Linked DNA regions of Caenorhabditis elegans. The protein of the gene in region 1 purifies or fractionates together with the protein of each later gene. This does not show direct contact. Each region holds a gene or a part of one and is shown on either strand. Other genes may lie near its edges.

Evidence for each region. Proteins that work in one complex are often made in the same cells at the same time.
Region 2: the proteins of cyn-7 (region 1) and ned-8 purify together in Caenorhabditis elegans (affinity purification with mass spectrometry; 2 studies listed by BioGRID, with this or other methods). This does not show direct contact.

The regions. Positions count from the first base shown.
Region 1 is NC_003283.11:15,184,499-15,191,290, forward strand, and holds cyn-7 (Peptidyl-prolyl cis-trans isomerase 7), read right to left. Parts: upstream 2,881-6,792; 5' UTR 2,863-2,880; coding exon 2,794-2,862; intron 2,746-2,793; coding exon 2,494-2,745; intron 2,380-2,493; coding exon 2,185-2,379; 3' UTR 2,084-2,184; downstream 1-2,083. Other genes in the region: Y75B12B.1 (Mos1 transposase HTH domain-containing protein), read left to right, coding at 211-507, 553-773, 820-910; Y75B12B.3 (Transposase), read right to left, coding at 1,428-1,475, 1,526-1,762; bath-36 (BTB and MATH domain-containing protein 36), read left to right, coding at 3,976-4,082, 4,143-4,714, 4,764-5,047; cyn-3 (Peptidyl-prolyl cis-trans isomerase 3), read left to right, coding at 5,454-5,522, 5,573-5,824, 6,135-6,335. UniProt on the Caenorhabditis elegans protein: PPIases accelerate the folding of proteins. It catalyzes the cis-trans isomerization of proline imidic peptide bonds in oligopeptides.
Region 2 is NC_003279.8:10,370,388-10,376,635, forward strand, and holds ned-8 (Ubiquitin-like protein NEDD8), read right to left. Parts: upstream 3,476-6,248; 5' UTR 3,473-3,475; coding exon 3,386-3,472; intron 3,318-3,385; coding exon 3,171-3,317; 3' UTR 2,986-3,170; downstream 1-2,985. Other genes in the region: sptf-1 (Specificity protein transcription factor 1), read left to right, coding at 776-903, 1,114-1,140; hpo-35 (PB1 domain-containing protein), read left to right, coding at 4,427-4,510, 4,564-4,623, 4,670-4,769, 4,999-5,093, 5,149-5,557, 5,605-5,855. UniProt on the Caenorhabditis elegans protein: Ubiquitin-like protein which plays an important role in cell cycle control and embryogenesis. Covalent attachment to its substrates requires prior activation by the E1 complex uba-3-ula-1 and linkage to the E2 enzyme ubc-12.

The DNA.
Region 1 (6,792 bases):
ATTTGATCAGATCTATATAATTTTGACCTATCCGTAGATCAAATAAGTTTATTCTGCGCGCGGTAAAAATTGAATTCTTTTTCGTTTCTTTTCTCCTTTGTCCCAAATTTGGTCCAGCTCTAACTTTTTTTCTCTTTCCCTGGTTTTCCCATGTTTCCCTTCCATTTTGCACTATGTATTACGCTTTTCATTAATTTTCATTTTCAGATTATGGCTTCTTCCTTGCGTACTGATCCAGCCTTCCTTCGCACATGTGTTCTCTACGAGGTGTTCAAGCTGAACACATTTTCTCAGGGATTCGCTAACTTCTGCAGCACGTTCGGAAACGACATCATGCATAATCGGGAATTCGAGTTCTGGCACAGACGTTTTTACGACGGAAATCACGATTTGGGTCTTGAGATCAGCTCACAAAATGCCATTGACCACGAGCTCGAACGTGCAAAGAATGGGCAAATCCTGAGATCGGATCCGTCACGTTCTGAGAAGAAAGCAAAGCACTTGGAGGTTTAAAAAATTTCAAATTTCTCGATTAACTCCTTTACTTTTCAGTTCATTACTTCTCCTCTGTGCAAAGATCCGGAATTCGTTCGTTCTTGCGTCCTCTACGAAGTTTTCAGTCTGAAAGACTCTACCCAAGGATACAAAGATTTCTGCGATGCTCTCGGAAACGAGTCTATGGGCGTCAGAGAGTTCGACTTCTGGTGGAATCGATTCTACAATGGTGATCATGATTTGTGTCTCGATATGACTGCCGCAGTCACTTTGGGAAGGCAAATATATAATAAGCTTCATCAAAATAAATTGTTAGTTTTGTAGCTCCGGACAAGACGATGGCTTCACAAATGATGGAGAGGCTGAAGAGACTTCGCAGCTTCAACGTGTTTCTGGAGATTCTGTGGAATGGTAGGGTTCTGGGGTTGAATGCCCTAATAATTGAGAATTTCCAGAAATACTTGCAAATTTATGATGATTACGGTGATTTTTCGGATGAGGAGGAGCACGTGCTGAAGATGTGCAAATTCGGAGAGCCTGCTATCAGAGAGTTCATTGTCGCGAACTTTTCGGCTGAAGAGATCGTCGATTTCAGATCTCAAGTATGTTTTCAAAAAGCCTTCTCACAATAAATGTTCCAATTTTCAGCTTCACGATAATCTGGAAGAATACGAAGAGAAGAACAAGCCATCTCTCATCAAAAAGCTCGTCGGAAAGATAAAAGGGATCGGCGCTCGGAGAGATGATGACTCGGATTCCGAAGAGGATTCGGAAGAGAGCTCCGACGAGGACTAAAATCATTCTTGTGTACAACCCAAACCTACTAACCCGCACATTATTTTCTGAAATAGCTTGCCACAATTGTAAATAAATATTAGCGCCTGTAATACTCTTGTAACTGGAAGAAAGTTCATTTAAGAAAATATCAAAAATTAGAACAACTTCTTGAATGGATTTCCTTGTTGCCCGCCGAGTTTGCTCTGAAAATGGAGAGACTACTGGAGCTTTATTAAAAAGGTATTCAACTAACCAAGTTCTCAATCTTCGCCTGAAGCTCGACGATTTTCTTCTGCAAGTTGTCCAAATCACCACGAGACTCCTTCAATTTCTCCAAATTCTCCGACTTTTGCTCATCCGAAACTTCCGGATTGTTGACCTGCTGCTCATACAACTGTTTGGCCGATTCATAACCAGACTTGCTCGATTCATAGATCTTCTTAATGTTCTCCAATCGAAGTTTTTCATTATTAAGAATCTCGGGAAACATTTCTAGGAATCTGACAAGTGAGAATAACCAAAAGAATGTGAAGAGCTGGCAACAATGCCTACATTTTATGCTCGAAATCTGAATATTTGCACAATTTACAGCTTTTCCTCTAACAATTCCATTTTATGTGTTTACTCTTCACGAGTCAACAGAGTTCGAACGGTTGTCTGAAATTCAGGATAGAATGCGCAGAGATTGGAACAAAATGACGGAAATCGACGCTTTCAATCGCTTCTACAATGTTACAGTTCTCTCCAAGCTGTTGAGAACAATTCACGAAGGCTTCCTCGAGTACGACCCATGTAACTGAACAACTATATTCTTTTCGAGCAATTTATTGATGATCAAGATGAAAAAGTGAAGCAATAAACAGGGTTGGATGGGGTGATTGAAAAGAAGAAAAGTTCTCACGGAGAACAAATTTAGAGCTGTCCGCAGTCGGCGATGAGGCACTCGGACTTTGGAGTTCCGGAGCTGCTTCCGTTGCCCTCGACCTTGCTGACGATGTCCAATCCTTCGACGACACGTCCGAAAACGACGTGCTTTCCGTCGAGCCAGGCAGTCTTGACGGTGCAGAGGAAGAATTGAGATCCGTTGGTGTTTGGTCCAGCGTTAGCCTGAAGAAAAACAATGAAACTTATCAGCCAGTGGATAACAGTTAAGAAACTAGATAATGCTTCTTTTCTATCAGTTTATGCTGTCTTTCAATCTGGCTAGGCAACATAACTTACCATGGAAAGGACTCCTGGTCCGGTGTGCTTCTCCTTGAAGTTCTCGTCTGGGAACTTCTCTCCGTAGATGGATTCTCCTCCAGTTCCGTTCCCGCGGGTGAAGTCTCCTCCCTGGATCATGAATTCTGGGATGATACGATGGAACTTGGATCCCTTGAAGTGGAGTGGCTTTCCGGACTTTCCGACTCCCTTCTCACCAGTGCAAAGAGCACGGAAGTTCTCAGCGGTTTTTGGAACAATATCGTTGTAGAGCTGAAAATAAGATTTAATTTCATGAAAAAAGATCAGTGTTTTGTTTACCTCCATAACGATACGTCCGGTTGGTTTTCCGGCGATGGTGATGTCGAAGAAGACTCTTGGGCGGCTCATTTTCAGGTAGGGTAATCACTAAAATGCTTGAGTTATAGTTGAGAAATATGTATGAGATAGGTATATCTACAGAGGTGCGGCAAACACGCTCTGCGGTAATAGAGCGGGAATCAATCAAAGTTAAAAATATAAACAAAGCACCATAAGATACAAGGAAGAAGCACACGGATGAGCTATATACTGAAATGGAGTGAATTAGCGCACTAAAACAGAAAATTTTAGGCCCAACTAAATTAATTTTCCTGTTGGGCCTAAAATCTGCCGAAAGACGTGATTCAACAAGGATTAAACGACAGTTGCACATCAAAAAAGTTCTTAAATAATTTTCAATTGATTTTAATTCATTTTAATAAGCGAAACTATAAAAATTCTGACAAAATCAACAAATTAGGCGACGAAAGAGAGAAGAAATGAGCCGTTCGCTTCTAGAATTTTCCGACGTAAACAACAAAGTCCGCAAAAGTGTCTGCGTACCCGACACCCAATCATACGACATGCGCCATATCTGACGACACTTTCGCTGTGTTTCCCGCCTTTTGTCAACACTTTCACCGTGCGCCTGTGTTTTCAAATGATCGTACACAAAACAACAGAACGGCGCCGAAATTGATAACAATTTTTGTAGGCAATAAAAGATTACATTGAAAAACCGGTCATTGATATCAGTTCGATCATCACCACGGTCTTCACGAAAAGAAGGAGAAATATCGAGATGATTTAACATTGAGAAACATTGAGAACATTTTAAATTGCTAAATAGATCACAAATTAATCCAACAGTTTTTCATTTTGTTGAATGCTTTCGAGATCGATTGAGCTAAATATGAAGCTCTGCATGTGACGGGTATCTGCGAAGCGGTTCGTCAAGATTAGCTTTGCTTATCCGCTAAAAAATAATCTTTTCGTACAAGGACAAAATAAAATCTGCACAAAATACATCGTGATGTGCTAAAAATGGTTAATGTGAAAGTCCTAGAAATAGACCAATAAACTTTATAAATTTTGACTGGTCTCGAAGCCATTTAGTGTACTGTAGGTGAGAGCATTGCTCAGCTTAAATTGTTTGTTTCAAATTCTTCTTCATTGTTCAAATTAAATTTATCACAAGATAAAATGTCTGGAAAAGACAATAAAGGATCAATTCGTTTTGAGATTCAAAATTTTTCTGGCTTGGCGAAGGCGACGGAGCACAAACCAGTGCAAATTGGACACGTAGAATGGTTAGTGAATTTTAATGAAACAAAAAATGTTCTAAATTATTTAAAATATTATCTTTTAAGGATTCTTGGAGCATTCACAAGCACTTCCGACGCTACGAACAATGCTAAACATCTCGGAATTCACCTGAAATGCAACGAGGAACTGCGCAGCAACTTGTGGTCCTGCGATGCGTCAATTCGTTTTTCACTTCTGAGACTCAATTCAAACGAGGATGATGACGCGTTTTCGATGGAGTTTCAGCAAAAGTTCGACGACTTGAACAAGATTGTGGTGGTCAACAATTTTAAAAATTGGGAGGAAGCCATCTGCTACGATAATCGATTTGTGCTCGATAAGCATGCCGTTCTTGAAGTCCAAATTACTGTCAACAAGATTGCCGGAATTCATGAGAGGATTATCGAGACTTTCGATCAACCCAAGGAACATCTTACCGATGTTGTGCTGGTGCTTGAAGGAAAACATGTCCATGTTGGCAAGCAAGTGCTCGCAACGAGCTCGCAATTCTTCCAAAAAATGTTCTATTCGAATTTCGCCGAAAAGACACAGGCTGAGATCAAAATCGATGATGTGACCCACTCTGAGTTTATCGATTTGCTCAATGTGATCTACCCCACTCACATGCTCATTAATAGTAAGTTCTTTTTTTTATTTGAGGCTTGGAATTATTAACGGATTTTCAGGTTCCAACGTGTCTCACTTGCTCAAGCTGAGCGATAGATTCGCGGTGCCAAGAGTTCTGGAAAAGGCTGAAACGTTTTTGATTTTGGACCAAAAGACCCACTTGATCGACAAGCTGAAGTTCGCCGAAGTCTACAGACTCTCAAGGCTTCAAAATGCATGCCTTTCGCAATTGGAGACCAGCGAAGATGTTACTGCGTTGAAGCATCACGAAAATTATAAATCTCTCGATCATATAACCTACAATGCGTTGCTTCAGAAGCTCATTGATCTTTTGGAAGATTAGCTCCAAGCTTTGTTGAATTTGTTGTTGATAAATTCTGTTGTTGATTTCAGTTTTCAAAACTGCAGATTATTTTTTGTTAAGGAGAAGGTAAAAATACCGCGAAGAACTGTTAATTTTTGATTGGTTAAAAAACTCAAATTTAAACTACCACCAAAAAGAAGAATGTAAGCACGCTCTGCTGATGAAAGAAAACCTTATTCAAACTTCGCGGTCTCACAAATTATCAACGGAGCGAACATTCTGACCCCGCCCACAAATCGAAATTTCTCTGCCGCTCTCCATTTCGGTCCCATTTTTTGAATTTTCATGCGAATTCACTGTTTTTTATTCAGATTTTTTATCGATTTTCGTTTAAATTATGTAATTTTTATGATTTTTCAGTAATTTCCCTATTCTTGCCTCAACAATGAGCCGCTCAAAGGTCTTTTTCGACATCACCATCGGTGGTAAGGCTTCCGGACGTATCGTCATGGAGGTTTGTGAAATTTTGGCTATTTTCATCTTCAATAAATAAATTTTTTACAGCTTTACGATGACGTTGTCCCAAAGACCGCCGGTAATTTCCGCGCTCTCTGCACCGGAGAAAATGGAATCGGAAAGTCTGGAAAGCCACTCCACTTCAAGGGATCCAAGTTTCATCGCATCATCCCGAACTTCATGATCCAGGGAGGAGACTTCACCCGCGGAAACGGAACTGGAGGAGAATCCATCTACGGAGAGAAGTTCCCAGACGAGAACTTCAAGGAGAAGCACACCGGACCAGGAGTCCTCTCCATGGTAAGCAAATCGTCAGCTGAATCTGTTTGAAGTTCGAGAAAATGTTTTTTTCTGCTCAATTTGGGAAAAATATCACTGTTTGTTCTCCGAAAAGAGGGAAAACTGAAGATTTCTAAATGTTGCTTTTCCGGAAATTGTCGTATCTGTGAGAGACGCAGACATATCTCACAGCACGTTGTGTGTAGGATGGAGTGCTGAGCCGTTGTTAGGAGAAATTGAATGATTTATGAGAAAGAGCAGCTGAATGTATCAGTCTCAAAAAATATCAGAATTTTTGTCTGTCTCGAAAGTAATATTTTCAACATTTCAGGCTAATGCTGGACCAAACACCAACGGATCTCAATTCTTCCTCTGCACCGTCAAGACCGAGTGGCTCGACGGAAAGCACGTCGTTTTCGGACGTGTCGTCGAAGGATTGGACGTCGTGAAGGCTGTCGAATCCAACGGATCCCAATCCGGAAAGCCAGTCAAGGACTGCATGATCGCTGACTGTGGACAACTCAAGGCATAAATTAATTGCACCCGAAATCTCCTTCATCTCTTGATTATATATTTTCAGTATTCAACTAATCCATATTTTTCTCATAAACCTCAGTTATCCCCGATTGTTCCTTTGAAGAAACCCAGGTCTCATTGAGAAAAAAAAAAGAAATCAGCTCAGACGTTGCGCATATTTCCATCTTCTGGCGAAAGGCGCGACGTTGGGTCCCGCCTTTTCAGGCGACATCACAATCCGATCGCCTCGGCCACTGCACAAGTCATCGATCACCGCTGAGGAGTTGAACCCGCGTCTGTTGTTTGAAGACGGCGCGCTTTACCACTGAACCACTCGGTCGCGAATAGTAGTGCGCCGTTGTGTACCTATAAAAGTGTGCGTAGGCAAGCAGAGAGGAATAATGAAGCGGAGAGTTTCAGAACCGGATTTCAGCTTTATCTAATACTTGAATCTACATGCAACATCCATTCAG
Region 2 (6,248 bases), on another chromosome or scaffold:
AATTATCACGCAATCAGTCATCTAATCGCTTGTTATGCATAAATCCAATTTCAAAAATAATTTCTTCAAATTTTCGTTCACCTAATAATACCTTTATCCGTCCGTAGACAAATCCACACGCACCTGTTCATGGGTAATCCAACCAAAATCCCACGCTTTTTAAGTAACCGATGCGCTCCATAGGAGCATAATTGGTGTGTGCAACGATATGGGATGTGCTCTCTCTTGGGAACATTTAGATGCCGACAGATATCAATAGCCGTACAAAAAAGGAAATTAAGATGATTAAGATCTTTAAGAAACTGTCAGAAGGTGTAAGATGAATGATGAATGATGATAGGAAATAGGGGGGGGGGGGGGGTGGGGCACTTTTAAAGAAAAGAGCAATTTTTTCACTTTGAAATTTATTTTGATTTTTTATTTGAACAAATTGTAGCTTGGTCATTTTCTGAGTTTTGTTTAAAAAAACATGGCTTTACTTGAATGGGTCTTACCGCAAGAAAAACAATTATATAATTGAGATAATTCAATAGTCTTTACCATTCAAGAATAACTACTAAAATACGGGAACATTTTTCTGAAAATCGATAAAGACTGGAAAATGCTCCTAGTATGTACTTGAAGTACAACAAGTTCTACCATAAACTTTAATTTTTGGAATAACAGCCAAAAACTAATTTTTGAACATTTTTGTCATGTTCAATAATTTCAGTTAATACTAGCATAGGAAACAAAATTTTCATTCCATCGAAATTCAATATCTCATTCGTTTCAGGACCCAATGCAATTGCAGCACGTAAGCGAGGAGTTCATAATTGTCATATTGCTGGATGTGGAAAAGTTTATAATAAGAGCAGTCACTTGAAAGCACATTTAAGATGGCATTCTGGTGAACGTCAAATGGTAAGGAAGCCCGTATAATCAGGAGATTGTATCCGAAGATTGTCAAGGAATTGAAGGTGAACTCGCATTAGCTTGTAGAGTGATTGTTTTTTTTTGTAATTATTATATTTGAATCTTTTCCTAATCCAGTTTATTATCATTGTCCAATGCGTTGCGTCATTCACAACCAAAAATTAATCTGGCAATTATCATAATTCTGTTTTTTTTAAGAAGAAACGCTCCGGTGACAGCTCATGACTACATCGTCCATGTTTCCGTATCTCTTCACATATCTCATTCAAAATAAATTAACTTTCTTTATTTGATATTTCTATTTTATTTCCTCTTGATCTTCTCTCTTCTGTCTCTGGTCTATTGTGAATATATTTTTCCATCCTGTCTGAAATAAACAATTGTGGTCTAAAATATATAGAATTCATCCATTTACATGCAATATAACTGCCGTATTTTGTCTATTGGTATGGCTGCAATACAATTTTTCAGAAATCTTCACGACATACCAATAAGCAAGACCGGGGTATTTTATTTCAAAATTCTATTTTACGAAGGCTATCCTCAGGTTATGCAGTTCTTTCGATTTACCAATGAAATGAAAATTTTAGAAAACATATTTTCGTCATCATAGTTCTGAGTTTAAGTGATCTGAACGAGAGCCGATATGGCTGATATGGCACCATCTTATATGGATACATTTTCGATTTGCACTTAATATAACAACCGTATTTCTTCTATGATTGTTATACTATTTGTGTTGGGCTTATTAATTTTTACTTGAAAGAACTCAATTTTTCATTTGGAGATGTTAACATTTTGATCATAACTGTAACAAAAAGTTCAATAACTTCAATTTTTATAAACTTGAGAAAATTGTTTAAAAACAGGAAACAAAAATCTCGGTAACTCTTAAAAATTAGTGAAGCGGGATTGCACCAAACAAAAAATTAAACGCAAGATTATTAAGGAGTACAGTACTAATTTTCGGAAGATGTTTAAGATAATATGGTAAATTGGAAAAAATACGGTAAATATTTTATAGAAAAAAGATGAATGCAAGGGGAAACAGATGGGAGTGAGGAGATGATATTACGATTTACAAAAATGGGAATGGTATTTTACACGAATTTTGGAACTGGGGAAAACAGATGTCGTGCAATATGTGTTAGGTATGAACAAGATTAGAAAACACTAACACATTATTAGAATGGCATGCTGCTTTTTTCGATCACTTTCATGAATGACATCGACGCTTCATTTACGCATTGTGGACGGAGATTGTAAAATTGGGATATTAAATTGTTTGCATTGTGAAGGTGAAGAAACCATCCATGGATTCAACGACGTTACACTCTGCCTTAATTCCATCAATACGAGTTATTTCGAACTTTTGTGGTCCAATTTTATGCTTAGGTAGATTCATAATAATAGGCAAGTCACTGATGTCTGGATGTTCAAACTTAAGATATTGAAGCATACAATTCGAGTAACAAGACATCCAGTGACGGATAAATATATTCCAATCTTTTGCGCTCATATTCGAATGAAAAACTGTGATTTTGAGACAATCAAAATTGAGAAGAAAGTACAACCAGCGTTACCAAACTTTTTTGCTCGCGATGAGACCCATCTATTACGGGAACACGAAATTCTGAGAATGCGTATTGAACAACATATTTGACGCGCAAAATATCTCGTAGCGAAAACTACAGTAATTCTTTGAATTACTACTGTAGCGCTTGTGTCGATTTACGGGCTCGATTTTCGAAATGAATTTCTCCGTATTATTTTTTTCATTTTTTTATTCTAATATTTTATCGATTAATAAATGATTTCCGTAAATCGTCAGCAGTGCTACAGTACTCATTTGTTGCGTAATACGAATTCTCAGGATTTTTTGTTACCATAGTGTTATTTTCATCAATTTCTTTCTAATAAATGAAAAACATTTTTAAGAGTTACCGAGATTTTTTTTAATATTCCTTTTCAATGAGGAGAAAATTGTCAATGAGAAGCACTAATTGTTTCGCCGTTGCGTTCAGGGCAGGACTGCTTTTAATTTTAAAATAATAGCATCACGAGATCAAGAATGCATTATTTATTTGAACACAGAAAATAAAATGAGGAATATGATTTAAAGAACTGATGTAACAATAAATATTGAAAGTTGGAGAGATTGGACATAAAAACGGGACATTCGGGACTGTGACTCGTTTCTATTTGGAGCGGGCTCAATTCAGACGGGAGTTTACATTTTATATGAATACATTTTCTTAAAATCCTCCGCGGAGAGCAAGAACCAGATGAAGAACAGATCCACCGAGAACCTTGTAATCTGCTGCTGTCTTGTCGTCGTTCATTTGCTTTCCGGCGAAAATGAGACGCTGTTGGGGTGGTGGGATTCCTTCTTTTTCTTCGACCTGCAAAATAATTTTCGTTGGATATTTCGAGATAAAATTTAGCTAAAATGGAAGTTAAAGTATGTTACCTTTTCTTTGATTCTCTCGACTCGATCATTTGGTTCGATGTCCAGCTCAATTTCCTTTCCAGTCAAGGTTTTAACTTTGATGAGCATTTTCTGTAAACTGAGACGATAAATAGCGAATATTAGGTGAAAATTAACATAAAATTTTCAAAATACTGCGTTAACAGATAAAAAGTGATTCAAAAACAATGGATTTAACTCTAAACTTGAAAAAAAGAACAAAATTCGAAGAATGATGAGAGGGGTCCGGTAGAGCGCATTTGGAACGCGAGAACGAACGAGAGAGCATGAGAATATGAGAGACGCAGCAGCTTACTACGCAGTTATTTTTTGTTAATATTTATTTTTGTTTTTATAATATTATTTTCATTTTTAATTTCAGTCTTAGTCCGAAATCTATTTTGTTTGAAGTATTAAAAGTTCTCATAGCTATGAAATATATTATTGAGAAAAGAAGAAGAAAAATTCAAGAAATGAGATAGAAAATTGCTCACCGTTCGTCAAGACGAAAGAAAAGCGAATGAAGTACCTTTCTCGAACAAATGCGCTCAGCGTATCAAGAACAAATCGATTTCTTACAAATACTGCGCGTTCTGATCTCCTAGGAAGTTCAGTTAGGTTCATCCTAAACACTAGTTATCGATTTTCATATTTCCTACTGGTCGAATGTGATATAATAATGAAAATTAAACAGATTTGTGGATAGGAGAATTAAAATATCATTCATGAATCACGGAACACTATTTAGAAATTATATTTACATTACTCAAAAAATTGGGGTGAAATAGAACAAAACACAAACCCAAACATGAAATTAAATAAATTATTTCACCATTCATAACGGCCATCATAACTACTATTATAAGCCCATTAATGAGCACTCATTGAGCAGAAAATAAATAGACATTGGCCTTGTGGCCGAACTTGCACTCTTCCATAAAGCGTTCCAAAGAGCCTTCGATTTTCTTGCTTAAATGACATTTCTCTATCCTTTTCATAAATTGAAATTAATGCTTCCACTTAATAAACTAAATTTCAGCCGAAATGCCTACTATGGTAATGTCACAACTGCCTAAATCATCAGGCAATGCGCGAAAACGTCAAAAGAACAAAAACGACCACATTGTCGTAAGTATTTCTGAAGATTTCGAGTCCAACAACATTAAAATCAACCCTTTCAGGCAATCAGCTACATGTACGTTGGAACTCCAAAGAAAAAGTTCACCTTCTATGTTCGAGAAGTAAATTAAATATCTGATAGTTCAAGATTTATTCATTTCTTTTCAGAGAATGTTGTATCGTTCGAATGTGGAAGTTACATACGAGGATGTATACAACTATTTGGCTACAATTTCCAACGACGAAACTGTTTCTTTGCATTATTCTGGTAATTTTCTCAAAAAAATCCCATTTCGGAGCGAATTTTCAGACAAAAATTCGAAGTTAAAGTTTCTCATAGTTTTGTAGAAGTTTTAATCGAAAATTTATATAGAAAGATAGAAAAGTACTTCAACTGTTGTTTGCAAATTTTGAGAAACTGCAGCTTTCAGGCAGTATTCGAGGTCCCTTTTGTTTCTGAATAAATTTTTTTCTTTGTAAAGCTAGACAATTTTCAGTCAATGGTTTGTACGTGCCAATCACAACTACTGGACAGCTTCACACATTTATTCGCCATGTTCATAATGATCCTACTGCATTTCTGTACGTAGAGGTAAAAGTTTCAAATCTATCAGAATGTAATCTAATTTAATTTTTTTAAATTTCAGAATCAAGATTACGTATGGAATGTTACGCCACAGAGCAAAAGCCACAAAATGGAGAAGCGAGTTCCAAATGGAGGAGCTACTCCGATAGATGGAGACTCTGAACAGTATGATTCAACGGAGGACGAAGAAGTGTCTCATGTTGAAGATGAAAATTGTGATTCTGAAGAAATTAGTCAGGACGAGGAAGAATATGAAGATGAAGAAGGTGAAGAATATGACGATGATGATGAATCTCGAATTGCGCCAATTCTAACTGATTATACAGCTCCAATGATTGTTAGCGACAAGATACCATTGAAAGAAGCTTTTGTAGAGCCCAAACCACGTGGTCAAACCGGTCAGCAACAGGATACAGAGGTGAAACATCGATTGATACGTATTGGAGATCCACTCGCTTCACCTGCTAAAAGTATAGTAAATACTGAAATTTAAAAAATATTTTTTGTCCATTTTCAGAATCCCCACTTTCCAACCGTCAATGGACAGAATCACAAGCATACCATCACGTTAAAAATATTCTATCTGATACTTTATCCAAAAAGTCGATGGATTCAGCTCCAACACTGATAGCCGAACAACTCGTTCGAGACGTCTGGAATCCCTCATTCCCATATAATGAGAAAGTACACGAAGATACTGTGGCTCTTCTCGCTCATAGTCTGGGAACCGGTCTTCTCCATTATTATAATAGAATTTTGTCGAGATATGTAAGAATTTGTTGTCTGATATTACCAAGACATGAGATTGTACACTTTAAAAAATGCGGGACCCGGTCTCGCCAAGCGACATGCGCCTTTAAAGAGTACTGTAAATTCAAACATTCAATTTCCATAGATTTTCATTTAAAAATAATTGATTTATTGAAATCCCAAAATAAAACAATTAAAACACAAATTTCAATAAATCATTTTTTTTAAACTATAAAAAGTCTATACAAATTTGAAGTCACAGTACTCTTTAAAGGCGCACACCTTTTTGAGGTTAACGAAAATTTGTCTTGGCGAGACCGAGTACCATATTTTAAGCTTAGACATTGCAAAATTTCGTGTCGGGGTAATATATATATATATATATATAATGTTTTTGAAACAGAGATAGTT